4 linked regions of the Pelodiscus sinensis genome follow. The protein of the gene in region 3 purifies or fractionates together with the protein of the main gene of each other region. This does not show direct contact. Links are inferred from orthologs where the notes say so. Each region holds a gene or a part of one and is shown on either strand. Other genes may lie near its edges. The genes, in order: RPA2, TOPBP1, ATR and CLSPN.

Region 1 (7,281 bases), on a different chromosome or scaffold from region 3:
ACCTACATTTATTATTATTTTTTTTAATCCCATTTTCCTGGGGTTTTAATACAATTCTCATCTATTGCCCAGTGAAAAAGAAACATGCAGACACACTCACCTTCTGACATAACCAGCTGCCCGAGCCACCAACCCCCACTTGCTGCACACAGGAGCCATTGCCCACTCATCTGTCACGGGGCTGTCTGGGGGTGCTAAACTAACATGTAAAGAAGGTGCCTTTTCTAAGTTTGCCATGATTTTGCAGTAACAGAGGCAGGGCTGAGAGCTCACTCATCCTGTGCCTCACCCAATGCTTTCTGCCTGCGCCTCAAGGCAGGGTTGGCCTCAACACAATCCCATCAGTGGGCTGACAAAAATCAACTTCATGAATGCCAGGAGAGCCAGTCATGTGCTGCCCCAGAAGCCCTGGGTCTGTTCACATCTTGCAGCTCGTTTAAAGAGACGTGAGCAAGCCAAGTTTAGTTTGGAAGTCAAGTAGAAACCAAGCTATGGCAAATCTTCCCTTGGAAGGAGGAACGCTTCCTCCAGACCTAGCAAAATCAGGCAGGCACAGAAAACTCATGAGGGCTGTTACCTTGGGTGGCGGCGGCAGCAGCAGCAATTCTGCAGTGCATTAGCAGCAGCAGGAACCTCAAGGCATCCATCTGAACTGGAATGGGGAGCTCTGACAGCTGCTGACTAATTGCCACTTTGCTGTTGAGAAGAGCCAATCCCAGGCAGCTGTCACCTCACCTGACTTCCTGGCAATGTGTGAAATGGGAGCACTTCTAGCTTGCCTTAAGAAAGATTCTCAGCCCATGGAGGGTCCCTTGCAGCCCAATCTGGGCACCGCTGCTGCTGGAGCCGGTGGCATTCTCCAGGGAGGCTGGTTTTGTTGGTTAAGCCAGCAAAAATAAGGTACAGGGCAGGAGTGAATTCCCTACTGGGGTCTGAATATTTAGATTACCTCAAATATCTACTGGCAGGTTTTAGGTGGCCTGTTGCTCACCACCCAGCCAGACTCAGGGTGCCTAGTGCCTCACTTCCCTCCCTCACCAGCACTTTGGTTGCTGTTCTCAGAATCTGTTCTACTTTCTTGGTACCTTTCCGGGGGCAAGTGCCTGGAACAGGATGCAGAGACCAGTCCCTTACACAAAGGACATCTCACCTCTTGCTCCATCACAGGACTCTTGTGCAGGTGCCAACTGAAATCACAGGGGCCTTCTCACTACCACATCCCATTACTAAGTCCTGCCTAACTCACTGCATTCCCAGCCCAGGTCTCACATCTAGCCCTACTTCCCAGCTTCTTCCCAGCTGCCTGAAATACTTCCCCTACCCCCGTACTGATGGGCTGCATTATCCCAAGTGGCGAGAAACGAATCAGCCAGCAACCCTGCCATGCCCACCACAGTGAGTAGTGGAGGGTCACCCATCAGCTGCCTCAGCAGCATCCCCAAAAGCCCCTGCGAATGGCGTAGAGAATGTCAGCGACCGGCGGCACCGCCGTGCTACACCCCTCCGAACGTGCCCTTACGTGTCCAAGCAGCTCCTGCCTCCACCCGCCCGCGGCGGCCGCGGGAAGGGGGGGGGCGGTAGGGCCGCGGGAAGTGGGGGGGGGGCGGTAGGGCCGCGGGAAGTGGGGGGGCGGTAGGGCCGCGGGAAGTGGGGGGGGGGCGGGGCGGTAGGGCCGCGGGAAGTGGGGGGGGGCGGTAAGGCCGCGGGAAGGGGGGGGGGGCGGTAAGGCCGCGGGAAGTGGGGGGGGGCGGTAGGGCCGCGGGAAGTGGGGGGGGGCGGTAGGGCCGCGGGAAGTGGGGGGGGGCGGTAGGGCCGCGGGAAGTGGGGGGGGCGGGGCGGTAAGGCCGCGGGAAGTGGGGGGGGCGCGGGGCGGTAAGGCCGCGGGAAGTGGGGGGGGGGCGGGGCGGTAAGGCCGCGGGAAGTGGGGGGGGGCGGGGCGGTAAGGCCGCGGGAAGTGGGGGGGGGCGGTAAGGCCGCGGGAAGTGGGGGGGGGCGGTAAGGCCGCGGGAAGTGGGGGGGGGCGGTAAGGCCGCGGGAAGGGGGGGGGCGGTAGGGCCGCGGGAAGGGGGGGGCGGTAGGGCCGCGGGAAGGGGGGGGGGCGGTAGGGCCGCGGGAAGGGGGGGGGCGGTAGGGCCGCGGGAAGGGGGGGGGCGGTAAGGCCGCGGGAAGTGGGGGGGGGCGGTAAGGCCGCGGGAAGTGGGGGGGGGCGGTAAGGCCGCGGGAAGTGGGGGGGGGCGGTAAGGCCGCGGGAAGTGGGGGGGGGCGGTAAGGCCGCGGGAAGTGGGGGGGGGCGGTAAGGCCGCGGGAAGGGGGGGGGCGGTAGGGCCGCGGGAAGGGGGGGGGCGGTAGGGCCGCGGGAAGGGGGGGGGGCGGTAGGGCCGCGGGAAGGGGGGGGGGCGGTAGGGCCGCGGGAAGGGGGGGGGCGGTAGGGCCGCGGGAAGGGGGGGGGCGGTAGGGCCGCGGGAAGGGGGGGGGGCGGTAGGGCCGCGGGAAGGGGGGGGGGCGGTAGGGCCGCGGGAAGGGGGGGGGGCGGTAGGGCCGCGGGAAGGGGGGGGGGCGGTAAGGCCGCGGGAAGGGGGGGGGGCGGTAAGGCCGCGGGAAGGGGGGGGGGCGGTAAGGCCGCGGGAAGGGGGGGGGCGGTAAGGCCGCGGGAAGGGGGGGGGGCGGTAAGGCCGCGGGAAGGGGGGGGGCGGTAAGGCCGCGGGAAGGGGGGGGGGGCGGTAAGGCCGCGGGAAGGGGGGGGGGCGGTAAGGCCGCGGGAAGGGGGGGGGGCGGTAAGGCCGCGGGAAGGGGGGGGGCGGTAAGGCCGCGGGAAGGGGGGGGGCGGTAAGGCTGCGGGAAGGGGGGGGCGGTAAGGCCGCGGGAAGGGGGGGGGCGGTAAGGCCGCGGGAAGGGGGGGGGCGGTAAGGCCGCGGGAAGGGGGGGGGCGGTAAGGCCGCGGGAAGGGGGGGGCGGTAGGGCCGCGGGAAGGGGGGGGCGGTAGGGCCGCGGGAAGGGGGGGGGCGGTAGGGCCGCGGGAAGGGGGGGGGGCGGTAGGGCCGCGGGAAGGGGGGGGCCGTAGGGCCGGGGGCGGTAAGGCCGCGGGAAGGGGGGGGGGCGGTAGGGCCGCGGGAAGGGGGGGGGGCGGTAGGGCCGGGGGCGGTAAGGCCGCGGGAAGGGGGGGGGGCGGTAGGGCCGCGGGAAGGGGGGGGGCGGTAAGGCCGCGGGAAGGGGGGGGGGCGGTAAGGCCGCGGGAAGGGGGGGGGGCGGTAAGGCCGCGGGAAGGGGGGGGGGGTAAGGCCGCGGGAAGGGGGGGGGGCGGTAAGGCCGCGGGAAGGGGGGGGGGCGGTAAGGCCGCGGGAAGGGGGGGGGGCGGTAAGGCCGCGGGAAGGGGGGAGGCGGTAAGGCCGCGGGAAGGGGGGGGGGCGGTAAGGCCGCGGGAAGGGGGGGGGGCGGTAAGGCCGCGGGAAGGGGGGGGGGGCGGTAAGGCCGCGGGAAGGGGGGGGGGCGGTAAGGCCGCGGGAAGGGGGGGGGGGCGGTAAGGCCGCGGGAAGGGGGGGGGCGGTAAGGCCGCGGGAAGGGGGGGGGGCGGTAAGGCCGCGGGAAGGGGGGGGGCGGTAGGGCCGCGGGAAGGGGGGGGCGGTAGGGCCGCGGGAAGGGGGGGGCGGTAGGGCCGCGGGAAGGGGGGGGCGGTAGGGCCGCGGGAAGGGGGGGGCGGTAGGGCCGCGGGAAGGGGGGGGGCGGTAGGGCCGCGGGAAGGGGGGGGGCGGTAGGGCCGGGGGCGGTAAGGCCGCGGGAAGGGGGGGGGGCGGTAAGGCCGCGGGAAGTGGGGGGGGGCGGTAAGGCCGCGGGAAGTGGGGGGGGGCGGTAAGGCCGCGTCTGCAGCCACGTTCCTCGCAAACCGCGACTCCCCTTTTGGCGCGCGCCGCTTCCCCTGCTCCGGGAGCGAGACCCGGGCGTGGCCTGGAGCGCCCCTCGGTCTCCCGCACCCCGGAGACTGGCCGCGCCCGGGACAAACGGCTCTTGGGCCTGGGCGGCCGGAGCCTCCCACGTTCACTCGCGGCGGCGCGTCGGGGGGCCGGGCCCCGATCCCTGGGGGCTGGCGCCGGGGGACCCAGGCGAGCGGGACGCGGGGCCGAGCCCGGCTCAGTAGCTGCCCCAGCCCCGCGCACGAGGCGTTAACCCAGGAGCCTAACGACGGCACGTGCCGCAGCGCTGGGAGGAGCGTGTCTGACTGACCTCAGGGGGCGGCGCCAATAGCAAAGATGGCGTCGGCGGCGCTTCCGTCCGCGGGTCGGAGGCCACCGGAAGGAGATGGTGGCGCCGCCCCTCGCCATGCGGGAGCCGATTGGCTGGAGCGCCGCGGGCTCGCCGATTGGGCGGTTATTTGAGGCGCGACGGAGCCGAGCGTCTGTTGGAGCGTCCGCAGCCGCCGCCATGTGGAGCGGTCACGGTAGGGGGGCAGGGTGTTGGGGGAGGGGCTGGGGGGGGGCTGGCAGGGTGTTGGGGGAGGGGCTGGGGCGATGGGGGGGCTGGCAGGGTGTTGGGGGAGGGGCTGGGGGGGCTGGCAGGGTGTTGGGGGAGGGGCTGGGGGGGCTGGCAGGGTGTTGGGGGGGGCTGGGGCGATGGGGGGGATGGCAGGGTGTTGGGGGAGGGGCTGGGGGGGATGGCAGGGTGTTGGGGGAGGGGCTGGGGCGATGGGGGGGATGGCAGGGTGTTGGGGGAGGGGCTGGGGGGATGGCAGGGTGTTGGGGGAGGGGCTGGGGGGATGGCAGGGTGTTGGGGGAGGGGCTGGGGGGAGGTGGCAGGGTGTTGGGGGAGGGGCTGGGGGGGCTGGCAGGGTGTTGGGGGAGGGGCTGGGGGGGCTGGCAGGGTGTTGGGGGAGGGGCTGGGGCGATGGGGGGGATGGCAGGGTGTTGGGGGAGGGGCTGGGGGGGATGGCAGGGTGTTGGGGGAGGGGCTGGGGCGATGGGGGGGATGGCAGGGTGTTGGGGGAGGGGCTGGGGCGATGGCAGGGTGTTGGGGGAGGGGCTGGGGGGATGGCAGGGTGTTGGGGGAGGGGCTGGGGGGATGGCAGGGTGTTGGGGGAGGGGCTGGGGGGGTGGCAGGGTGTTGGGGGAGGGGCTGGGGCGATGGGGGGGGTGGCAGGGTGTTGGGGGAGGGGCTGGGGCGATGAGGCATGTGTCTCACCTTGTGAGACGCTATAGGTTGCTGAGGCCAGGTCGCTGACCCTATGGCATTGCCCCTTTCTGTGACCTGGCGTCCCCATGAGCTTAGCGTTCTGGTGCCTTCTTTGAACTTTGGTGGGGTTTGGACTTGAGTGCAGGTTAAAAATGCAGGCTGCTGGGGAGTAAGACTTACAGGTGGGGAGAATGTAAGTTTGGCTGTTTGAATTAAGTGAATATGTGAGAGTCTCAGCTTTCCCTCTACTGGATACGGCTGCTGGAAAACACCTGAGTGACCCAAAGAGCTCAGTAATATAATGTACATTTTGGGTGGTATTTACTATACTTTATTTTGTCTAATTGTAAGCTAATTGCACGACTATTTGGTATAACTTGTGATTTTTGAACACTTGGGATTGGCAACAATGTATTAGTAACTGTGATTCTTTCCCCCCTACCCTAGGTGGCTTTGACGGTGGCTATGGTGGGTCTTCAATTAGTGGTGGATACACACAGTCCCCAGGGGGGTTTGGCTCTCCAGCAGCCACCCAGGGAGAAAAGAAACAGGTATGTAGTGGAAGGGTTTTAAAGAATGGGAGAACTGGGTGCCTGGTCACACTAGGGAGGTTCCCATGAGAGTTTTGATCTTTATGTTGCTGTCATGAGAAGGATTATCTATACCTCTCCCAGCAGAGAACAAATTGTACGGTATTAGGGATAAGAGAGAAGCTTCAATATAACATTGAATTGGGAAGCAGTGATGGGAGGAGTACAGTGGCCTAGGAGCTAGGTTTTGGCCTTGGTCCTTCCCTCAATGTGTTTTATGACCTTTGGCAAGTAACTTATACTGTATTTTGACTTCCCTTCTCAGAATAGATATTTATTCACAGAATGTTGTGTCTTAATTAAATGTTGCAGTTGTAATTCATTTTATGGCTACTTAACCTGGTTACACCAAACATGGCTGAGCTCTGCATTTTTTTCCTCCGCATCAGAAGAATGTGTAAAATATTCCTTTGTCTGTCATGTTGCCTACTGTGTTTGTATCAGGGAAAATTGGGCAAACTATCCTAAATGTTCTCAGCAGGGGAATAATGGAGCATGAAGGACATGCACCTGGACGGATAGTAAGAGTGCATAGGGTAAGCTGTAAGGAAGGTGGAAGACAGGCCATCCCTGTGACACAAACTTATTCAGGCGTTTCCTTCTACATAGTGAAAAACAAAGCCAACATACCTTGTGGAGGAAAACGGCTGTGTGCCAGCCTAGGCCACTGGAAAGCATGACTGACTGTTGTGATTCTAAAGAGTACCAGTTGTGAGTGAACTCAAACCATGGTTAGAGCTGTCTCTGGGACTAACTGGTCACAGATTCAGTTACAATAATGCTGACACAGCCTCAGTGTTTGTAAATCTCTTTGAACATCTCAATCACAACATGAATCAGTAATGTGATATTGTTTCAAAAAAAAAAAAAAAAGCAAATACAATTTTAGGCTGCATTAACAGATGCATAGGAGGCAAGTCACAGGTAGTGATAGTACTGCTCTGTTTGATGCTGATTGAGCCTCAGCTGGAGTACTGTGCCCAGTTTTGGTCACCAATGTATAGAAAGGCTGCAGAAAAAAGATGATCAAAGGGATGGAATGCAAGGCTGTAGGAACTGGGTATGTTTAGTTTGGGGGGAAAAAAGAGACTGAGGGGGAACATGATACCAGACTTCAAATATTTGAAAGACTGCCATAAAAAGATGGAAAACAGTTTTCTCTTGCCACAAAAGTCAGGACAAAGGGTAGTGGGCCCAAGCTGCAGTGGAGCAGATTCAGATTAAATCACAGGAAAAACTTGGGATAGGGGTTTTCCTCTGTCGCCCCTGCTTCCTCCCAGCCCAGGAGCCGTAGCCTGGGCAGCAATCACCCTCTAGCACAGTGGTTCTCAAACTTTTTGGTCCGTGGACCACCTGGCTCAAGGCAAACCTTTCCACCGACCACCAGTTGTTAATGGAAACTCTCTGTTAACTACATCCGAGCCATTTTGCTAGTGCTGCAGCCAGGGAAAATGGTTTAATTTAAATTATTAAACAAATTAAGCATTTTAACTTTCTCATGTTAGTTTATCAAACTTTATTTTAAATAAAG
Region 2 (7,989 bases), on a different chromosome or scaffold from region 3:
TATGTTGTATTTGCAATCTATTAAAGTTAGTTGAATTCTTTGGTTTTTGCTTCTTGCAGAAAAATGTGTGTGTTCTAAAAAAAATGTGGGAAAGGGATGGTAAAGATATTCAACACAGCATGTTGCAATACCTAGGGAGCAGACAGGATAAGGTAAGTAGATGTCTCTTTCCAAGCATTAGTAACTGGATAGAGTCTTTCAGTACTAGATCAAATCCATTCCACCATCAGATCAATAGTGATGATAAGCTTCTAGGCAGTGGATCATAAACTTTTGTCTGCTAGCTTAAAGAGCCCTCTGCTATGTGAGATCATCTGCACAGGAAGATTGTCAGACATTGTGACAAACACTTTCCCACATATCAAATATAATTACAGTTTGAGCATCCAAGACACACAATTCACTTAGACTTAATAGCTCCTCACTAATTAAAGATTCTATTCTGCTTCATGCTGAATTGTCTTTGTGGAAGTTGAGCATACTAAAAATTCTTCACAAGATCAGTCCCTCAGTCATGTAGAAGTGTGACCACTACATAAGACCTTCTAAACAGAACTAACCCTAGATGTTAATAAAAGGAATCACTCTAAACTTTTCTTTAAAATATCTTCTATTCCTTCTGGCTGAAATCAAGGGTAACTTGCTATCTTATACAGCTTTTTGTATCTTTCCATTGTAGGGAGCATGAGCTGTAGGTTCTAATTGCAATTGTTACTTTAGCCTAGGTCTTAGTCATTCCAACTTTTTAGTTTATAATGCCACCATGTGGCCACTTTGTTTTGTCTTCTTAAATCAACCCTGTTAAAAGGGTATACAATTCTTAATAGTTAAAAAATATTTAAAAACCAAGCATTTCCTCCCATAAGTCTAGCACTGCTGTCTGAGGAGCCTCACATTGCCTCCAGCCAAGCCAAAGGAGGATGGCAGTACTCAGGTGAGCACCAAAGAGACTGGAAGCTAGGAACATAGGACACCTTTTACAAAAATGAGCTTGTTGGCATTGCATGTACAGATTGCACAGCATATTATAAAAGTAGGGGCTTGCCTTGCTATTGCTGATAAAGTATTTTCTCACAGCTGAACTGTCTGGCTACTGCCATCCAACCAACTGTAACAATTCAGAGGTGCTTTAGATAGTTCATGAAGCATGAAGGAGCCCTAATAAACCATACAAATGCAACACATCATCTACTCCAGCAATTCTCAAACTATTAATTGTGACCCAAAGTGGGTTGTGACTATTTTAATGGATCTGCCAGAGGCTGTTATTAGGCTTACCTGTGGCCCATGGCTGGATTCCAAGTCTCAGTATCTGAGGCCAAAGCCCAAGGGGTTCAGCACTGTGTGCAGGGTGCCTCAAATTACAGGCCACCTGCTGGGTACTGAAGCCTTTGTGGCTATGCATTACCCTCCTTACATAACACCCATGGGGCTCTAGCATTGCCTCCCTCCTCCCCACCGTACCCACCCTATGGCAGAAGGACTCATGTACTGCCCCCCCCTTCCTGTGGTTGTGTAGCAAGGTTTATTGTCATGAGGGCATCTCAATCAGTGTTGCCTCTAATTTTTCCATCTTTAGGCAGAATTTTGTTATACTTATCAATATGGAGGTGGGCTGTGTCTAGACTGGCCACTTTTTCCGTAAAAGCAGTTACTTTTCCGGAAAAACTTACCAGCTGTCTACACTGGCCGCTTGAATTTCCGCAAAAGCACTGACAATCTCATGTAAGATTGTCAATGCTTTTGCTGGAACTACTATGCTGCTCCCATTCGGGCTAAAGTCTTTTTCTGAAAAACTTTTGCGCAAAAAGGCCAGTGTAGACAGCAGAGATTTGTTTTCCGCAAAAAAGCCCTGATTGCGAAAATGGCGATCAGGGTTTTTTTTGCAGAAAAGCGTGTCTAGATTGGCCACGGATGCTTTTCCACAAAAAAGTGCTCTGTTCCGAAAATGCTTTTAACGGAAAACTTTTCCGTTAAAAGCATTTCCGGAAAATCATGCCAGTCTAGACGTAGCCGTGATGTTTTATCCATCAACTTTATATTGGTGCACATAACAAAATTCATGTGGTGGTGGATGGGGATAAAGGTTCATTGTACGGGAGGGGACTCAGCTGTGGGACAGAGGATTGGGGTGAAAGGCTCTGGCTGGGGGTGCAGGATCTGGGGTGGGGCCAGGAATGAGCAGTATAGGGCTGGGATAAAGGGTTGGGGTGCAAAGGTGTAAGGACTCCAGACAGGCATACAGGCTAGGGGTGGATAGGGACTAAGTGGCTAGTGGAGTCACTACTCGATTACTTGCTTCTCCCTCCCCTTGCTGACTCTCTATCAGAGGCAAGGGCGGGGGGAGGGGGGGCGGAAGCAGGAGCCAGTGCTGGGGGGAATCAGCTTAAAAGCCAGTTCTCCACAGCATTGCCTCCACAATGTAAGGTGGAGGAAAGGGGAGGCAAAGGCGCAGCGGTCCAGGATCCAGTACAAGCTAGGACTGCTGAGTCCCAGCTCGCACCAGGTCCTGGACCTACTCCTGCTGCAGCTCTGCTTTTTAAATGCAATAGGAACTGCCCTTATCAACTAATCGCTCAATACAAATTGTATAGAGTACATAATTAGTCAATTATCTGCCTCTTAACATTCTTTGAATTGGGACAAGGTTCAGTGGGGCTACGTCTACATTGGCATGATCTTGTGCAAATACTCTTTAACAAAAGAGTTCTTGTGTTAAAGTATTTGCGCAAGAGAGCGTTTACTCTGGCATGTGCCTTTGCACAAGAGCATCCGTGCCAATGTAGATGCTCTCTTGCGCAAGAAAGCTCCGATGGCCTGTCTGCACTGGCCTCTTGCGCAAGAACAGTTGTGCAAGAGGGCTTATTCCTGAGCAGGAGCATCATAGTTCTTGCGCAAGAAGCACTGATTTCACACATTAGAATGTCAGTGTACTTGTGCAAGAACTCACCACTAGGGTAGAAAGGCAGCATGTTTCTGCGCAAAAGCAGCCGCTTTGGCACAAGATAGCGCCAATGTAGACACAGCCTAGGAGTTTGGGGTGAAGGACCATTCTCCAAGGCTATGTCTACACAGGCAGCTTCTTGCGCAAGAAAACATCCACACTGCCATGTGCGTGGTGTGCTTTTGCACAAGAGCTCCCATGGTAGTGTGGACGCTCTCTTGCACAAGAAAGCTCTGAGGGCCATTTTAGCCATAGGGCTTTCTTGTGCAAGAAATCCCTGCCGAGCATCCACACTGTCCTCTTGCGCAAGAGCTCCTGCGCAAGAGGGTTTACACCTGTTAAAAAAAGAGCCTAACTCTTGCGCAAGGAACCCTCTCTTACCACGCCATACTGTAAATTTCCTTGCCCAAGATCGGGTGGGCAGTGTGGACACTCTGCAAATTCTTGCGCAAGAATGGCCGTACTTGCGCGAGAAGCCGCGAGCGTAGACCTAACCTAAGGTTACTGCAAGGAGAGAGGACACTCCCAGCTCTCTCGCCTTACAGAAGCACCTGGACTGGGGAAACAGCCTGTCTCCCCAAAGTAGTAGCTCTAGGCCCATGGTCACCAACAGGTCGATTGCAATTGACCAGTCAATCGTGAGGCATCCTGTCCGCCCCACCCCCATTTCCCTCCTACCCCCGAAAAGCCCCACTACCTATCTCAAGTGAAAATGGAGGTAGTGTCGGCTTCCCGACTTTGGCTTTTTGCGGAAAAGTGTCCATGGCCAATCTAGACACGGTTTCCCACAAAAAAACCCTGATCGCCATTTTCGCGATCGGGGCTTTTTTGCGGAAAACAGTACTGTGCTGTCTACACTGGCCCTTTTGCACAAAAGTCTTTCGGAAAACTTTTGCCCGAACGGGAGCAGCATAGTATTTCCGGAAAAGCACTGATGATCTTACATGAGATCATCAGTGCTTTTCCGGAAATTCAAGCGGCCAGTGTAGACAGCTGGCAACTTTTTCCGCAAAATCATGCGATTTTGCAGAAAAACTTGCCAGTCTAGACACAGCCAAAATGTATAATTATAAATGCTTCATTTTAGATTTAAATAGCATGAATAAAAAACAGACCATTTATTTCATAACTATAAATACATTATTTTAATTTTATATATCACATAATTTAAAAATAAACTGTTTATCAGAGCGTGTAAGTAAGGGCTGAGGATAGCAAGTGATGGACAGGAGGAGAATAGAGAGGGTGGGGCTTCAAGGAAGGGGCGGGGCAGTAGATCTTCACCTGTTCTGAGATTTAAAAAGTGATCTTGGGTGTAAAAAGGTTGGAGACCACTGCTCTAGACCATGGCAAGTTTGGGGTTGGGGACAGGCTGCTGCCCCAGGATCAGGTCCAGGGTTGGGCCACCCCGGGGGGCAGAGTCAGGCCGGGCCACCCCACCTGACAGGGCCAGGCTGGTGCCAGGTGACCCTGGCTGCAGCAAGTTGAGGGTGGGCTGGGGAGGAATTGAGTTGGCCCTCCTGTGGCTGCCACAGCTTCCCACCACGTGTGGTCTCCTGAAAGAGCGGCAGGGCTCTAAACACCTGGCCGCAGCGCTTACAGGGGAACCTGGCTCTCACCGCACTTACGTTTGGAAGCCCTGGTGTAGCTGCAGCGCCCTCTGCTGGGGAGGGAAACGAGGACCGGACGCTGCATCTCCGCGGGGACTGGAACCAGCGCAGACCCCGCCCCCACATTCACCCAGGGCGGGGCTCAGGAGAGTCGCCTTGTAGCGCCCAGGCTGCCCAGTTCACCCCCCCGCCGCACAAGAGCCCGCGCGCTGTGTCGGGCCAGGGCCACTAAGGAAAGACCCGCGCGCTAGCGGCAGAGTGAGGGCGGGGTGAGCCCCCCCCCCCCCGCCACCTCCAGTCCCAAGGGGCGTGCGGCAGCCGGGGGGAGGGGGGCACCGTCAGGCGTTGACACGCGCACGCGCCCCCCCCAAGCGGCCCCTACAGCCCCTGGCGCTGCCCAGGGCGGGGCGGGCGCAGAACGCGCAGGGACGCAGCGTCGCGCGGCTGAGTCAGGCGCAAGTTGGTGACGCCGGCGGCGGAAGAAGACCAAGCAGCCAACAGCAGAACTGCCGTTGCCGGATCCACTTAGAACGCGCCGCTCGCAGCGCCTTTAAGAGGTGGGCCGGGCCTCCCGTCTTGGTCACGTGACAGAGATGAGCCCGCGCCTGCGCAGTGTGGGTCTGGTGGTCTTCCCGCCAATCTTGGGTTCCCTGTGGGAGCGAGGCCGCAGCATCCGTAACCTCGCCCCGCGCTGACCCCTCCGGGCTCCCCTAGGCTGGGGGGGAGCAAACCCGGCCGACTCGGCTCCTTCCACGGGCAGGGCTGGTGAGGGGGTCCCTGAGCAGCGGGAGGACGCGGCGCAGCCCGGCGGGAGGGGCCGAGGTGACAGATCCGCGACGGCGCGAGTGGCTGTTGCCCGCGCGGGTGGGGGGGGGCTCGTGACGGTGACGCGCGGGGAGAGGCGCGCGACTCCCCAGGTCCCTGCGGCGCCCCCGCCCCCCGGCTGTGGTGAGGGGTGGAGCCGGCGGGGCAAGCGGCGTTGGCCGCTGGGGCGGGGGGAGGCGGCGGCGGCGGGCGGGGTGTTCCTGGTTGGGCGGGGGAGCCCCGTGTCAGACCGATAAGGGAGACCCCGGGAACGTGCAGCCCGGGCTTGCCGCTGAGCAGAGCTGCCTACGGAGCCGTGAGTCTCAGCCTGTTCCCCCGCGCTCTTGTGCAAGGCGCGGTGCTTAGCAGCGCCCCCGCTAATCTTTTCCACCCGAGTGCGGATTTTTTTCCCCCATCCATGTGTGGAATAAATGTTTTATGTGCACCGAGACACGTGCCAATGTGTCCACTAGTAGAAACAAAAACCTGGCTGTTGGCGCCCTGCTGCAGGCTGGTATTTGAAGCTCTCCTGAGCAGCCACCTAAGCACCAAATTTTCAAGAAACACTTGTGTCCTTCCTTATAGGTCCAGCAAATTCTCCAGGTAGTAAAGGGTTGGAGGAGTAAGTCAAGAGGTTACCTAATCTTCACCCCTGCTCTATTTCTGCATCAGAGAGAGTGATCTCTGAGATGTGTTGAGCATCTACATACTGCAGCAGCGGTTCTCAAACTGTGGGTTGGGACTTTGTTTTAATGGGGTTGCTAGGGCTGGCATTAGACTTGCTGGGGACAGAGGCCAACACCCAACCCCTGTCTCCCATGTGCAGTGTCATGACCCAGGGTTTCAGCCTTAGATAGTGGAGTTCAGATGACAGGCCTCCTACCTATGTTTCAGCATTGTCCCCCCTCGCCCCCACACTCTCCCCCGTGGCAGTGGGGCTCAGACTTTGCCTTTGCTCCTCTCCTTCCCAGCCTAGGGCAGCAGGGTTTGGAGCAGGCTCGGTCTTCTCGGGTCAGGTAGTAATGTTTGTAAAAAGGGGTCATGGTGCAATGAAGTGTGATAACCTATGTACAACAGTTATAAGGGGCAATATATGAGCAAATTAGTAGCACTGACATTTACAGGGAATAGATTTTTAATGCTTGGATACATTTGTTCAAGAAATTCAGAAAAAAAACAATTTATGTGGAAAAATAAGTTAGGAACATCTCGTTAATACAAGTCTTGAATACATAACAGTTATTATGAAAAATAATACTTCAAAGCTTATTTTGCTTCATCCATTTGTTAAAGGATGAAAAGTGACAAGGAGCCATTTTTTGTTAAATTTATAAAGTCTTCTGGCAACTCTGAATATTTTTTTAAAGCTCTTGAGGTAAGAACTTTTGGTACCACTGTTAGCTGTTTTCCTGAATTTACTTTTCTTTCTAATTACTTTCATATTTAGTTTTACTATATTTATCTGTAAATAACTGCATTGTTTCTCTCAGATGCAATATTAGATATTAATTTAGATAATACAGTTGCCTTGTTTAACTTTCTACAGCAAGGATCAATATTTTCTGTTATGTACTTCAGTTTTTTTTTTTTTTTACTAATTACAGTGGATTAGTTCCACTTAATACAGTGAAAAAGTCATATGGTGAAATCATTGTTTTGAAACCAGTTCTCTAAGGAGCTGTGTGCCTCTGGAAAGGTGCTGAAGCACTCAGTACTTTGGTCCTAGTACTGGAGACAGTCACTGCCTGGCATGGCCCTTACTACTGTGAGATGTATTTTGAAATAATTTGAAGATCGATTCAAATTAAAATCCGGTGTAATCTGTTAACTGGTTAAATGTTACATTTCCCTGATTAACAGGGATCTTGTGAGCTGGCATGCCCCTCTTCTTCGCCCACAGCCTGGCGGGCCTGGCCAGGCTAGAGTGCCCCCAGCTCATGGCATGGCACAGTGGAACCAGCAGGGCTGGAGCAGGCCTCTGCCTATATTGGGTGGGGGCTACTTCCACTTAGCCAGGCTGCTGCTGATGTTAACTGGTGACATCCGTAACTTAATTAAGAACCTTGACTTCCTCCAGGAACAAATTGTCCTGCAAGATTTGAATTAACTTATTGAATGCTGTGCTTTGATAGCTAGTATTTGAATGATTGGGATCAGTGATTGTAGAAGGCATTCAGCAGGTCCCAGAACAGAATGAGGTGCAATCTTGAGGGTTCAGGTCCCTCTTCCGTGCTAGTACTGAAGAGGGTGCTAAGTCATTTCTCCCCTGAGAAGTCAGTGGGAATTAGAAGGTTCTCATCATCTTGCAAGATAATGTCCAATACATGAAAATGTGTACCCTGTACATTGCAGTGGATTGAAATAATATTATATTTTTGTTTAGTTGCACTGCAAGTAGATTCTTCTGTAGTAATTTTGCTGTAAGTAATTTCAACTGTATATGTTTTGCAATTGCCATAGGTAGATTTATCTTAACTGTTTTATCTTTGAATTTAAGTTAAGTATATTGTTCCATGTTTTCTTGCAGTCCATAAAAGAATTTCAATCCGAAGAATATCTTCAGATTGTTGAAGAAGCACCAGCACTCAATATAAAAGAAAATGACAAATCCCTTTACATCTGTGACCCTTT
Region 3 (7,022 bases):
ATCACAGAGCTGCGTCATGATGTTGAAGGGGAAGGATTTGATGAACTCCAAGCAACAGAAATAGAGTTACTTGAGTCCCACATTACCAAGCTCAAAAAAAAAGAGCTACAGGAGCTAATTCAGTGAATCACTAGTGACGAGGACAGTGAGGAGGTACAAGTGGCACCAAAACTGTAACTGACAATGAAGAATTTGGATAAAGGTTTTCAATTAGCCAAGGAAGTCGAGACTATTTTTTGCTGAGAATCCATACATGGAATTAGGGATGTAAGCAACTAGTCCACTATCCGATAAGCAAATGCTTATCGGATAGTCGACTAGTGATTTGACTGGTTGCTTCCCCTCCTTGCTGCTTCTATCAGAGAGAGGCAGCAAGGGTGGGGAGCAAAATCCGGTGCTGGGGGGTAGCCAGCTTAGAAGCCAGTTCCCCCCAGCACCATCTCCATGGGGAGAAGGGGCAGGCAGGGGTGCAGCAAGGAACTGGCGGCGCTTTCACCTTTGAAATGTAGCAAGAGCAAAGTCTTGCTACATTTCAACAGCAGAAGGCCTGCGGGGAGCCTGGGGCAAGCTGGGGACTGAAGCATTCCCCCACTGGTCCTGAGCTCCCTGCTTTTGAAATGTATAAGAGCCCCAGGAGGGAGCTCAAGGTGGGAGCATGGGGTCAGTGGGGGATTGCTTGAGTCCCCTGCTGGCTATGCTCGCCATGGTGCTTCCGCCTTTAAAAAGTAGCAAGAATTGGCAAGGCTCTTGCTACATTTCTAAGGCAGAGGAACCTTTATCAATTAAACAAATAGTTGATGCAAATTAGATCTAAATTTATCATCCTTATATGGAACGTAGCTTGAAATTCAAGAGAGCTGAGGGTGCACTTGCTCCTTACAGGGAAGTTTACAAAGATATGCAGAAGAAAACCAATTTGACTTATCACCAATTTTCTTCATGTCTGCTGTTATCAACTCCATCCCCCAGCCCTGGCTCTGCTTCAGCCCTAGTATCTCCAGGTGGGCAGTGAGTTTGAGGGTTTCCCCTACTCAGTGCACGTTCCTGGTGCTCTACCTGGGGAGGAGGATCAGGGCACAGGGGCTTAGCCATTTTGCCCAGCCTTCCTACTAGGGAGCAGGTTCAGTTCAAGAGGACTTGCCAGTTCCATCTGCCCAGAGAGTGGGGTCAGGTCTTATTCTTACCCGACTCCATCCACCCAGCATTCCAGGGAGCAAGTAAACCACCATGCCCTGACAGTGCTCCCCAGTTGCACCATCAGGGTGGCAGGCAGAATGAGGTGAGCTCCCTATTCTGTTCCCCAGCAGCAACACAAGGCAGGGAGAGCAGGGTGATTGGAATAGGGAACAGCCTCCATAATGTGACTGGGATTTTTCAGCTTTGAAGAGACAATTAACAGGGGGATATTATTTAGGTCTATAAAATCATGACTGGTGTTGATAAAGCAAATAAAGAAGCACTATTTATTACTTCTCATAACACAAAAAGTAGGGGTCACCAAATGAAGTTAATATGAAGCAAGTTTAAAATAAACAAAAGGAAGATTTTTTTTCCCTCACACAATTGACAGTCCACATGTAGAAGTTTTTGCCAGAGTATGTTGTGAAGCTACACTATTACAGGGGTCAAAAAAGAACTAGAGAAATTAATGGAAGACAGGTCCATCAATAGCTATTAGCCAGGATGGGCAGGGATGGCATTCCTAGCCTTTATTTGCCAAAAGTGGAGACGGATCACTTGGTGATTATCCATTCTGTTTGTTTCCTCCTGGGCACCTGGCACTGACTAAAGTCAGATGATAGGATAACTGAGCTTGACGGACCTTTTGCCTATTATGGCCATTCTTATGTTATGTTCTCATCATATCAAGTTCATCCTCAAATCAGTAATGGCAAGGTTAAATTTCTTAACATTTTAAAATAAAAACTGCACTGCATAAGTTAGGGAGTTCATCCTGTGAGCCTGGAACTTAAGCCCTTATTTCCCATGGACTTTGGATATCATTTTATACAGTTTTTATTTGCAGTGTTTTTTCAAGAACATAGCCACCCTGTAAACTGAGGTTTGACTAAATCAAGACACCATTTTCCATAAGCATCCTACATACAAGTTATGAGAGAAGCAAGGATTGTCCAGTACTGCACCGGGATGCAGAACTGGTTTAAATAGCTGGCTTTGTCTGTCTTGTCACGTGACCTAGAACAACTTAGCCCCACTGCATCTTAATTTTCCTCTCTGTAACAGTACGAATAATACTTAGCATTGTTGGGAGACTAAACCATTAGCATTTCTCACGTGCTGAGACACTGCAGTGAGCGAGCATCACAAATAAGCCTATAAACAAGCAAGTGGTGCAAAGAGCTTTGCAGAGTTCAACACCACAACGTGACCAGTAAAACAGCAGCAGAGACAGTCAGCGGCTCAGACTCTGGAAAAGGTTCCGCACATTTGGAAGCGAACGGAGCAGACGAGGCCAACGCTCGCGAGGGGGTTTTGTTGTTTCGAGCAGCACGTAAAATGCCATTTCTTGTTGTGTTACTAGCACCGCGTGCAAGCCACCGCCACAGCCTGCGCGCCCCGCTGCCAGGGCTCACGAGGAAGTCAAGCTACCGCTCTGCTCTAAGCCCAGCTGGGGGGCAACCCAGACATGTCGGAGCTGCCGCAGGCTCCTGGCTCTGAGCGGCGCGGGGCCGCTGCAGACCTACCTGCCCAGCTCCCTGAGGGCTGGGATCATAGAGGCCAGCTCCAGGCCCTGCTCGGCCATTGCGGTTAAACAGCCCCGGCTCAGCGGCAGGCCCCCGCACTCCTCTCAGAGGCGGGAAAGCGAGCTGTGGATGGTGGCCGGCTGGACTCAAAACGCCTCAGTTCATAGCAGGGCGTAGCGCAAACGCGTCCTCCTTTGCTCCGCGGCAGGGGCTGGCTTGGCTGATCAGTTGCTGTGACGCGCCGCGCACGCAGCTTTACTTCAGCCAAGAGCAATACGATTTATTTTAGACGGCTGAAGATAGCATTGCACAGGCTAGGAAGGCTGCAGAGGAAACACTCTTTAACGACTACGTAATTAACCCCCCGCTGATAATGCGCTACGGATCAGCAACGCGCTGACTCCAGGAGTTGTACATTCAGGTTTTAGTAATGCAGAAATAACATATTCGCTAGGCAGTGTATTCACCGCAATTGCACAAATCCGCATGCTGACCGATATATTTTATTGCTAGGGAGATGCCCACACGCCAGTGTCTCAAGTACACTGAATGCAATGGCAGTCTTCCTTTTCATTCACTCCACTACCGTGCAAACGGTATTTGAAGCTATTCAACCCAGATACTGTTTACAAGTATTACGTATTTATTCACCTGATCTAAAACTCAGGGTGTTTGTTTCCTGGTTTTAATTAGCCCTCGAGAGATTCGTCACTGCCAACAGCAGCCTATGAACTTTGCGGGGATCACGTGTGTAAAACTAAAAGAGGGAAGGAAAAGGATCACAAACCAAGAGATTAATCACGGAAGCCAGATTTTGGAACTAATCATCAATAGCATGTTTCTCAATCATGAGCTTTTCCCCTCCGTAGCTGTGGAGTCTAGTAATGGTAGAGGAGTGAGGTAAACTTGGCTCTAACATTAGATCTCATCGTGGCTAATTATGAAAAGATCATAGAATCATAATCATAGAATACTAGGACTGGAAGGGACCTGGAGAGGTCATCGAGTCCAGTCCCCTACCTCCATGGCAGGACCCAGTACATGGCAAAGATCCTTCCAGTGAACAGCCGACTCACAGTACAGCGCTAAATAGGAGGAGCTCCCCCAGGAGATTTAACACGGAGGAAAAGTCCTAAAATTCAAGGCTGGCTTTAGGCACCGGTAACGGGACCGAGATGCCAGCTGTAAGGGTCTCTGAGTTATGAGTTCCTACCAGTATGGGCCCTGATCCAGGACTGTGTTGGCTCATCTCTCTAATCTCCACTGCAGCGCAGCGAGGGACCCGCCCGCTTCTCCTCTCTCAGTGCCCTGAATGGGGGCGTGGACCCTGTGTCACCCCATGGCCCGGTTTCTTCAGCTACGACGCTGTTTAATAAAGACACGGGACACTGATAGCTTGAGAGGGCCGTGCCACTGAGTCCTGCCCATCCCTCGGGAGGGAGCTCGCCACTCGGAACCGAGCCCATCTCCCGGGACGCAATGGGATTGGTCTGGGCAGCTGCCTGTCCCGCGGATGTTCGACTGCTCCCGGCAGCAGGTGTCTTCTAGTTCGCAGCAAGTATTGTAGCCGCGGCTGGCGCAGACGCTGCAACCCGAGCAGTAGGAGGGGCCGGTACAAGACCAGCGTCAGGTAGGGGTCTGGCACATACCTTGTGACAATTGTACCGTTCTACTTTTTTTTTTTGGAGGGGACGGGCAGGTAGAGTGGGAGAGAGAATGGGGGTTTCCTTGGCTTTGCTGACAAAGATGCATTTAATGTGGTTCCCAGAATATCTCTGGCACTGTTGTTCAACTTTACGCTTTTTTACAATTCATTGTAGCCAGCCGGCTGAAGCTTTCTTTGGCAGGAAAGATATTCTAGAATAGATATTCTAGAATAGATTATATTCCAATCTATTTAAAGTATTCAGGTTATTCTTAAATTCACGTGTTAGTAGTTTTAAACAGACTTTAACACATAAAGTATGAAACAATAAAATACCTAAAAGCTAGAGACCCATCCACTCTCACCTTGACAACCTGCTTTCTCACAGCAGACATCAAAATAAAGGTATATTTTAATAGAGTAAATAGGTTATGATGGAGAATATGGAGTTCTGAGGAGTCATATATTGCCCTACATAGACAGTCTGCAGGATATGGAAACAAAGGAGTTCTTCAGCTTACTGTGTCTCTAAATGCAGATATTAATAGCCAGGAGACTAGGGAAAGGGAAATTGTAGTTTTGATTTGGCTTTCCAAATTGGGAGCTACTGTCTTTGTTGTGTTTGTTTTCAAGCCTATGAACCTTTTGCCTGCATTGTTTATAGGGATGCATGTAAGCACAGGCTGAAATAAAATCCTTTTTTTGGATTCTGTTTCTGTGGCCAGTTTCCCAATTCTGAAGCATTAATGTTGTATGTAAAACAGATAAAAAAATGAAATCAATGTGCTTATGTCCCAGTTTCTGAAGCATTTTAAATGAGTGCTCTTCAAGAAATTGTTGGGAGTTCACTTTTCATTCATAACTTATTTCATTCACACTATTTCCTTCCCATTATATTTAAATATACAGGTAAATTTAAATATTGGTCTGCTTATTCTGTCCTTTCAAGATCTATTTGATAAGAAGAAACTGGGATATTTCAGGAGACTTTCAAGCACACAATTGTTTAACCTTTACATTTTTAATTATTTATTGCAGCATTTACTGCTATGTGAATATATATATACTAACACCTTTAAGTGGCATTACCAGTGTGCAGTTAGAAACCTTAAACTTTGACTGGCGATGGCCAAGTGGCATCAAACTTTGGAATGAAAAGACCAGAAATCAGATTAAACAGAATCAAATTGGTGATTTTTCTGATTCACATATACATTCTGCAAGATTTAAGTTTTAATTTAAAAAAAAATTGTCAACCCTTAGGATTGTGAAAATAACCTTCCAAATGTGAACTGATGCAGCACTGTTTTTCTGAGTCTGCACTTTTGTGTTCAGTTTGTACACAGTGTCAGTTCAAACAGCAACATTATGCATAGTTTAATTGCTGATAATTTTCTGACAAAATCTCGCTATTTTGGGATTGTAGGACCAAGGCGGGTAGAGTATTAACATTTTAAATTCCAACCACAAGCCTAAAGAGGGTGTATAACCCTCCTATGTCAGGCCATAGGATACATATAGCACCACTAGGCTGCAGAAGTGCTTACATAAGTATTTTTCCTTAGAAGCCTCTTAGTCCAGCAATGAAATCACAATAATGCATTTATAACATACATTTCATTGTCATAAATTCGGGATGAGATATAGCTTTATTTTAATACAGGGCCAGCTATGTGCATTTGCAAATTATGTCAATATGTGATACTCTGGCTTTTTTCTGTTAGTCCTTTTCCTATGAAATAGCCTGACCCAAATGTCCACCACAACCAAGTCCTCTAATAAAATATGAAAAAAAAAAAATGTGGGAGGCTAAGTTTTCTCCCATTTATTAAAGCTCTCCCTGACATCTCCTTCCAAGTGATATAACCTGACTGTCAAATCTCCTTTTGCCTACCCTGCCCTATTGTTAAAACTCCCCAATATTCCCCTAATGGCAAGAAACCTTGACCTGCCCAGTACTCAAATCCCAATATGCTAGGTGAGCTATGGAAATCACAGAGGTTCCCCATGTCTCCCACGGTGCCCCACAAAGCCCAGAACCATCCTTGGTTCAGTATCCATTAGCAAAGACTACTAGACAGACAATAAGTGGCTCAGTAACTTCTTTTTTTGCCAAGATTCACTTGTTCTGTCTCTCTTTACTACCTTTCTCATTTCCTTTGAAATCCTTGAAAGCTCCTAATTAGCATTTGATTTAGTATATCAATAGACTTTTATCATAAGAACCACGATGATTAGATAGTGTCTCCCACCTATTGTCTGGAGTAGTTTGTCTCAAGATTGGACTGATCTTCTTTTAACTATGAACTCTTAACATAATTGACAATGTGTATGTACATATCTTACAATTATTATCATAAATAGAGTGACACGGACTTTCATTGGAGGTCTTATATGCAGGTATGTACCTCTGAACTTTCACCCAGTTGGTACAAAGAGATCCCTGGATCCACCATGTCACAGATGCCCCTTAGCTAGTGGCTGTTTGAGAAATGAGCTTGCCTAATTTTCATGGGCCCAGTTAGGGCATATCTACACTAGGAAATGTTTTGAAATAACTCCTAAAATAACAATTTTGAAATAGTACTGTTCCTCATGACAAGCAGGAGTTATTTCAAAATAACAAGCCCGTTATTTCAAAATAGTGTAGTAGTGTGGCCACTCTACTTGTT
Region 4 (6,953 bases), on a different chromosome or scaffold from region 3:
CATGATCTCCTCCTCTTCCTCCATCCTTTTCCTGTAGCTCAAGGGCAGCAGAGTAGCTAACTCATCTCCATAACAGGTGCCTAGGCTGCCTGACTCTAGGCAGCAGCTTCCCAGTAATGGATCACTAAGTAGCTACAGTCAAAACTTCAGCTATCTTTCAGAGAAGTGGAGCTTAACACACACTGTCATCAGTTTAGGTCTATAGTCAATAGAGTGCTGGCTTTTGTGGATTGCATTTTAAAATGATAGTCTCTCTCCTTCCCTTCATTGTATAGAGAGCCCAGATGTCTATGTGTGCAGCTGTGTGGGTCACAGTGTTGTTCCTATGATTTTTGAGGCTCTTAAAAGATAGGCACTGTGACGCCTTGTCTACACTTACCTGTGCAGTTGATCTACTTCACATAGTGGAGCTGAAGTTGACATACTTACCACAGCGTCTTGCGTGAGGTAAGGTCAGGGGGAGCTGCTCTCCTGTTGATGCTGGCTACATTTCTCATCTTGGTGGAGTATTGGCATCAGTGGAAGCACACTTGGAGATCGATTTATTGTGTCTAAGCAGACATTGATTCCCCACGTAATGTAGACAAGATCCAAATCCTTTTGTAGATCCAGGCCAAGATGTGTCTGCAGATCAGCTGGCATTCCCAGTGCACAGCTGCACTAAGGCTTGCCAATGGCTAGGTTATCTAGTTGATTCTACATACTTTTGTAAGACAATGAATAATTTTGCATTCGCATGCTGACCTGTCAGTGGGTGTCTCTTGAATGAACTGATTTTGTGGGTTAATGTGCCCCATGTGTCTCCTAACTGGCCTATTGCAGAAGAAAGTTCTCTTGAAGAAATCAATGAATAGGCAGATCTGCTGTATCTAATCAGATTTCTTAATTTTAAAACTTTACAAATGGACCTGAGCTTTCTGAAAATTGTTCTGACCATATCATTCTAGGAATCTCCTTTTGTGTCCCTGTTACATTGTAAAATAAAAGTAACACCAAGAATGAATTTAGACCAATATTTGAAAACCTACAGTACACCGATGTACTAATGTACTAACCATGATTAATACTTTGTGAAGCTTGCTTGGTAGGCTTTGGTTGTCATCATTTTACACTCTCATGAATTCTGCAAATTTTTAATTTTGAAATTCTTAAGTGTTGTTTTTGCTAAATGTTAGCACAAAATTGTATTTTGCTGGCTGAGTAATGGCTGGCTGATCACTGTTGTGTTGAGGAATCAGAAAAAGTAAGTTATTTATTTTTGGCTTTATAAGCATGTACTTAAGTATGTAAAATTGCTTTTGAACTGCTTGTTAAATTCAACCAAGTACATGTGCCTTCATGTTATATAATTGATTCAGCTGCATTCTCAGGATTTTAAATGTCAGCTTCTGTGACTACATGCTTTTCTTTTAGTCTAAAAATGCTTTTGTAATGACTTTGCTGATGAGTGTGCACCACTGCTGTCCGCTGGATAAAATGAGAACTGATGTGTATCATAAACCCTGTATTGCTAAGAGCTAATAAACGTTTTCCTTTTGCTCGAGAGGTTGCAGCATTTCCTTGTGGAACACAGTTCTCTCTCTGCTGCCACCATTAAATTCCCTTGGCCATGGTATGCAGCATAGTGACAAATGGGAAATCTTAATTGGCCACAACAGTATTTACACTCTGTTGAAATATGTATCTCTATCTGCAATTACGTCACTTAAATAAAACCATTTCAGCTACTAACTTGGTTCTTGCCCACAAAGTGGCTTTTACATAATTACCAATGTAATTTGCAGATCTGTCAAATTCATCAGGCAAGCAGAGCCATCAGTATAGTTTGTAAACCCAGAGAAGAAATGTGATTATTAATTTTTGCTCCTAACAAAATGTAATGCACAGACCCATAACTGTTGAAAACCTCGCTCCCAGATACCAAACAGGATTGATTCAAATAACTGATACTACAGAAGCTGCAGAAAGTGAATTTAGTAACAACAGGGCTTCCATGTAATAGATTAACCAAGGTGCAATACTAGAATATATGTAATCCAAACATAACGGTATTGTCCTGGGGCATAAATACCCCAGAATTTACCTTTTTAGTGATAAGTGAAACAAAACAGAATTTACCTTTTTAGTGATAAGTGAAACAAAACAGATATTAAACTCCTAAGCCTTATTGTCAACTGTTATTAGATGTCCTTCCCCCGCTAACAAGAGAACGTATTTCCTTCACCTCTCTTGCTAATGTATTTATAGAACCTTTTCTTATTACTCTTTATGGCCCTTGTTAGATGTAACTTATTTTGTGCCTTAATTTTATCCTTATATGTTTGTATGGCTTCTTAACAAATTGTCCATGTTTCCACTTTTTGTAGAATTCCATTTTTATTTTTAGATTGCTGACGAACTCTTGGTAGAGCCATATAGATGTCTATAGAGTTGACAGAAGAATGATCACTGGTCAATTTATTGTGTCTATTAACACCCGCTGGACAATGTTCCCACTAATATTTTCTATCCATGTGCAGAATAAATTTTATATGCACCAATGCATTTGCAAATATGCAACACCAGCTAGGGATGTTAAAATTAGATTAATCAACTGTTCAATTTGTTGATAAGGGCGCTTCTGCTTTGAAATGTAGCAAGAGCGCTCCCGGCTATTGCTACATTTCAAAGGTGGAAGTGCTGCACAGCGTTTCACCTTTGAAATGTACATAGGGGATCTTGTGCATTTCAAAGATTGAAATACCACATGGAGCCTGGGGCCAGTGGGGGACTCTGAATCTCTCGCTGGCCCCAGGATCCCTGCAGCGCTTCTGCTTTGAAATATACAAGAGGGCCAGTGGGGACTCTTGCACATTTCAAAGGTGGAACGCCCCCGCTGTGCTCTTGTTCCCTCCCATGGAGCTGGGGGGAACCAGCTTTTAAACCAGCTCCCCCCAACACCCACACCTCTCCCCTGTCTTACTGCCCCTTTCTGACAGAGGCAGCAAGGTGGGGGGAAGCGACAAGTCAACTAATGTGTCAACGATCTGATAAACTTTTGCTTATCGGATAGTTGACTAATCAATTAGTCATTTACATCGACTAATCGATTAGTCATTTAGTTGGAATTGGTCCTGCCTAGAGCAGGGGACTGGACTTGATGACCTTCTGAGGTCTCTTCCAGCTCTATGGTTCTATGGTTCTATGATCCCTACCACCAGCAGACACAAAAACCTAGTGGGTGGGGGCTCTGCTCGTCAGCAGGGCAGCATTTGAATCTCTCCTGAGCCGCGGCACAGAACCCCAGCTTCCAGCGCAGGCTGCGGCCCCGTCGAGCTGACCCGTCGCGCAGTCCTGCCCTTCGAGGAGTCCAGTTCAAGAAGTCGAGGGGCGACGCACGCAGGTGGGGGCGGCTGTACGTTGGCAGCAGGCTGCGCGGGCAGAAAGAGCAGACGCCGCCCGGCACTGGACTGGAAGGGGGTCTGTCCTGCTTGGCTCTCCACAGCGGGTTTAGGACACAGGGCTCCAGGGCGGAGAGGATGGGGGGAGGGGGGGGTCCAGCACTAGCAATAACATTAGCACAGGGCCCTTAAGAGTGGAAGGCCCCTGTGAACTTGGGGGGGCCCCCAGAGGGAGGCCCAAACCAGGCAGCCCCCAGCATGCACTGCGGCCCCCATCCCATTTGGCCAGGGTCACTAGCCCCGAGTTGCGTGATGTGCGGCTAGAGCGGCTCAGGCCCAGCGGGCCCCTCTATCCCTTCGGAGCAGACGAGGCGATGAGCGAGCCGGGAGGGACTTGACAGCGGTGAGGCGCCAATGGGATGCTGGCACAGCCGGGGCCCCCCTCAGGCTCAGAGCCGGATGGCGATTGGTTCGCAGACCTGCAAGGCGGGCCAGTCATCCACTAGGGAGCCGAGTAAGGCGGAGGCTGAAGGCAGAGCACGAGCTGTGATTGGTTCGAGGTGGGGGGCGGGGCTAGCTGCTGCAGAGCGCGAAGAATCGAAGGGGTTTCAATCGCTGGCGGCGGCAGCTGAGGAGACCTGGGGACTCCTGAGGGGCAGCCAGCGTTAGGGGTGCTGCCCACCACCGCGCAGCCTGGGGTCATGGCGGCTGAGGTAAGCTCTCCCGGCCTGCATTGACGGCAGGCGCCGAGAGGGGATGGCGGGGGTGCAGTGACCCCTGTCCCCTCTCTGTTGAGTTTCCCGCAGCTGGCGGGGACTACGACTCCCAGCATGCACGGCGCGTAGGCGGCGCGTCCCAGCATGCACTGCAGTCAGTGGCGGCGAGAGGTCTCAGCCTGCCTTGTGCCCATGTAAGGACTACACGTCCCAGCGTGCCCTTCGGCACACTGAGCTCAGCGAGGCGGTGGCCAAGACGTCCGTGGTGCTCAGCCATTTCATACTATGGGGGGGGGCCCTCTGCAGGAGGCTGGGCTGGTGTCTCCCGCAGGTTTCACTGCTCTGACAAACGACCTGTGTGCAGTCTCAGACTCAAAGGCTAGTTGAGACTGGCATGATTTTCCGCAAATGCTTTTAATGGAAAAGTTTTTCCGTTAAAAGCATTTGCGGAAAAGAGCGTCTAGATTGGCAGGACGCTTTTCCGCAAAAGCACTTTTTGTGGAAAAGCGTCCGTGCCAATCTAGACGTGCTTTTGCGCAAAAAAGCCCCGATCGCCATTTTCGCCATCGGGGCTTTTTTGCGCAAAACAAATCTGAGCTGTCTACACTGGCCCTTTTGCACAAAAGGGACTTTTGCCCGAACAGGAGCAGCATAGTATTTCCCCAAGAAGCACTGATTTCTTACATGAGATGGTCAGTACTCTTGCGGAAATTCCAGCTGCCAGTGTAGACAGCTGGCAAGTTTTTCTGCTTTTGCGGAAAAACTTGCCAGTCTAGCCACAGCCAAAAATACAAACCTGGCACAGAAATGTTGCTGACTGTCCTGCTTCCACTGCATTGTCAAATGTGTTGGGCTGTAAATATTGCAGTGCGCTGTATAAATAAGTTGCATCGACCGTTAGTTTGGAGTGACTTTTCTGGTGCTTTTTATGTAGCCTGTTGTAAAACCAGGTAAATATGTAGGTAAGCTGATGGACGCCTGAAAGATATCTGCACATCCCTTCCCCCGAAGTATGTGTACCGCTGGTTGAGAGCCAGGTCAATGGTTCTCTTGTGGTGCGGTCAGTGAATCTGAGATTCCCGGCGTAACTGGGGGCACCATAAATATGCTGTCCTCGTGACCCACACTGGATAACTAAGGTCCTCCTAATGGGATGGGAATTAAGAATGTTAAGTAGTGAGTAAATGACTAATTGTGTACTCGATATAATGTGTGTTGAGTACATGATTAGTTGATAAAAGGTCACTTGGGTTATGCAGTTTACATGTAGTAGGTGCTGGGCGTGCATAGCTGCAGCGAGGGTAGGTCTGGTACCCAGCATGAGCCAGGCCTGGACTGCTGCAGCTCTGCCTTTTAAATGTAGTAAAAGCTGCCTGGGTTCCACTCTGTGCCTCTGGATTTTAAATGTAGCAAGAGCCAGGTACCTTTTACTATATTTAAAAGGCAGATCTACAGTACTGCTGCATCTTTGCCTCCCTGCCCACCCTCCCCTCACCATGGGGAAGGAGGGAGCCAGCTTTTAAGCAATGTAAAAAAAATAGTCGTGTCGACTACTTGCAATCCCCTCCTTGCTGCCTCTATACCAGAGGCAGCAGGAGGAGTGTAGAAGCAGGAGCCAGCTTTAAAAAGGATGAGGCTTTTTTTTTTTTTTAAATAACCAACAAAGCTATCCAAAGCACAGGACTTGGTGGTGTTGGGAAACTTCAATTATCTAGAGATCTGTTAGGAAAACAACATAGCAGAGCAGAGATTATCCAACAAGTATTTGGAATGTATTGGAGACATTTTTTTTATTTCAGAAGCTGGAGAAAGCTACTGGGGAAGGCTGTTCTGGTTTGATTTTAACAAATAGGGAGGAATTGGCTGAGAATTTGAGACTGGAAGACAGCTTGGGTGAAAGTGATCATGAAATGACAGAGTGCATGATTTTAAAGAATGATTGTAGGGAGAACAGGAAAAAAAGACAGTGGATTTCAAGAAGGCAGCTATAGCAAATGCAGGGAGTTGGTAGATAAGATCCCATGAGAAGCAAGTCTAAGAGGAAAAATAATTGAAGACGGTTGTTTTTCAAAGAGAGGTTAGTAAAGGCACAAGAGCAAATTATCTCACTGTATACAATAGATAGGAAGTACAGCAAGAGACCATGCTGGTTTAACCTGGAGATCTTAAATGATTTAAAAATAACAAAAGGAGTCTTACAAAAACTGGAAACTGGGTCAAGTTATAAAGGATGAATATAAACACATAACACAAATATATAAGGGCAAAATTAGAAAGGACAAGGCACAAAATGAACTCAGACTAGCTAGAGACATAAAGGATAACAAGAAAACATTCTACAAATATATTAGAAGCACAAAGAAGAGCAGGGACAGGATCAGCCCGTTACAAAAAGAGGAAAAAACTAACAGAAAATGTGGAAATAGGTAGGGATATAACCAGTTGACTGGCCTGTCTGGAGCAGCCCACAGCATGGCGGGCCTGGCTGGGATGGAGCAGTCAATCATCCAAGGGGTGGATGGGTGGGCCTCTCCAGCTTGACTGGGCCCTCCACACCATGCTGTGGGTGGGTGAACGGGCAGGCGGGGGCTGCTCCAACCCAGTCGGGCCCACTGCACTGCAGACAGGCAGGGGGCAGCTTCAGTCCAGCTGGGCCCATCATGCCATACCATGCCTTGGGTGGGCAGGAGGACCAGCTAGGGCCCATCATGTCACACTGAGGGCAGGGGAGACCATTCCAGCCTGGCTGGACCTGTCACACCGCAGGATCGAAATTAAGTGGTTAACCAGTTAAATGTTAACCTGTTAACTGATTAAATGGGATTTTATATTCCTAGAAAAGGCAAAGGTGCTTAAT

The links.
Region 1: the proteins of ATR (region 3) and RPA2 purify together in Homo sapiens (affinity purification with western blotting; 3 studies listed by BioGRID, with this or other methods). This does not show direct contact. The link is inferred for Pelodiscus sinensis from reciprocal best matches to the Homo sapiens genes ATR and RPA2.
Region 2: the proteins of ATR (region 3) and TOPBP1 purify together in Homo sapiens (affinity purification with western blotting; 8 studies listed by BioGRID). This does not show direct contact. The link is inferred for Pelodiscus sinensis from reciprocal best matches to the Homo sapiens genes ATR and TOPBP1.
Region 4: the proteins of ATR (region 3) and CLSPN purify together in Homo sapiens (affinity purification with western blotting; 3 studies listed by BioGRID). This does not show direct contact. The link is inferred for Pelodiscus sinensis from reciprocal best matches to the Homo sapiens genes ATR and CLSPN.

Annotation. Positions count from the first base shown.
Region 1 is NC_134735.1:22,902,147-22,909,427, reverse strand, and holds the start of RPA2 (replication protein A 32 kDa subunit), read left to right. Parts: upstream 1-4,276; 5' UTR 4,277-4,293; coding exon 4,294-4,432; intron 4,433-5,607; coding exon 5,608-5,711; intron 5,712-7,281. Other genes in the region: SMPDL3B (acid sphingomyelinase-like phosphodiesterase 3b), read right to left, coding at 578-647. UniProt on the Homo sapiens protein: As part of the heterotrimeric replication protein A complex (RPA/RP-A), binds and stabilizes single-stranded DNA intermediates that form during DNA replication or upon DNA stress.
Region 2 is NC_134712.1:179,226,327-179,234,315, forward strand, and holds the start of TOPBP1 (DNA topoisomerase 2-binding protein 1), read left to right. Parts: upstream 1-4,980; 5' UTR 4,981-5,111; intron 5,112-5,174; exon of another isoform or gene 5,175-5,376; intron 5,377-5,651; exon of another isoform or gene 5,652-5,674; intron 5,675-6,651; 5' UTR 6,652-6,652; coding exon 6,653-6,733; intron 6,734-7,885; coding exon 7,886-7,989. UniProt on the Homo sapiens protein: Scaffold protein that acts as a key protein-protein adapter in DNA replication and DNA repair. Composed of multiple BRCT domains, which specifically recognize and bind phosphorylated proteins, bringing proteins together into functional combinations.
Region 3 is NC_134720.1:21,487,751-21,494,772, forward strand, and holds the start of ATR (serine/threonine-protein kinase ATR), read right to left. Parts: upstream 3,020-7,022; 5' UTR 2,765-3,019; coding exon 2,706-2,764; intron 1-2,705. UniProt on the Homo sapiens protein: Serine/threonine protein kinase which activates checkpoint signaling upon genotoxic stresses such as ionizing radiation (IR), ultraviolet light (UV), or DNA replication stalling, thereby acting as a DNA damage sensor.
Region 4 is NC_134735.1:7,481,716-7,488,668, reverse strand, and holds the start of CLSPN (claspin), read left to right. Parts: upstream 1-3,934; 5' UTR 3,935-4,081; coding exon 4,082-4,093; intron 4,094-6,953.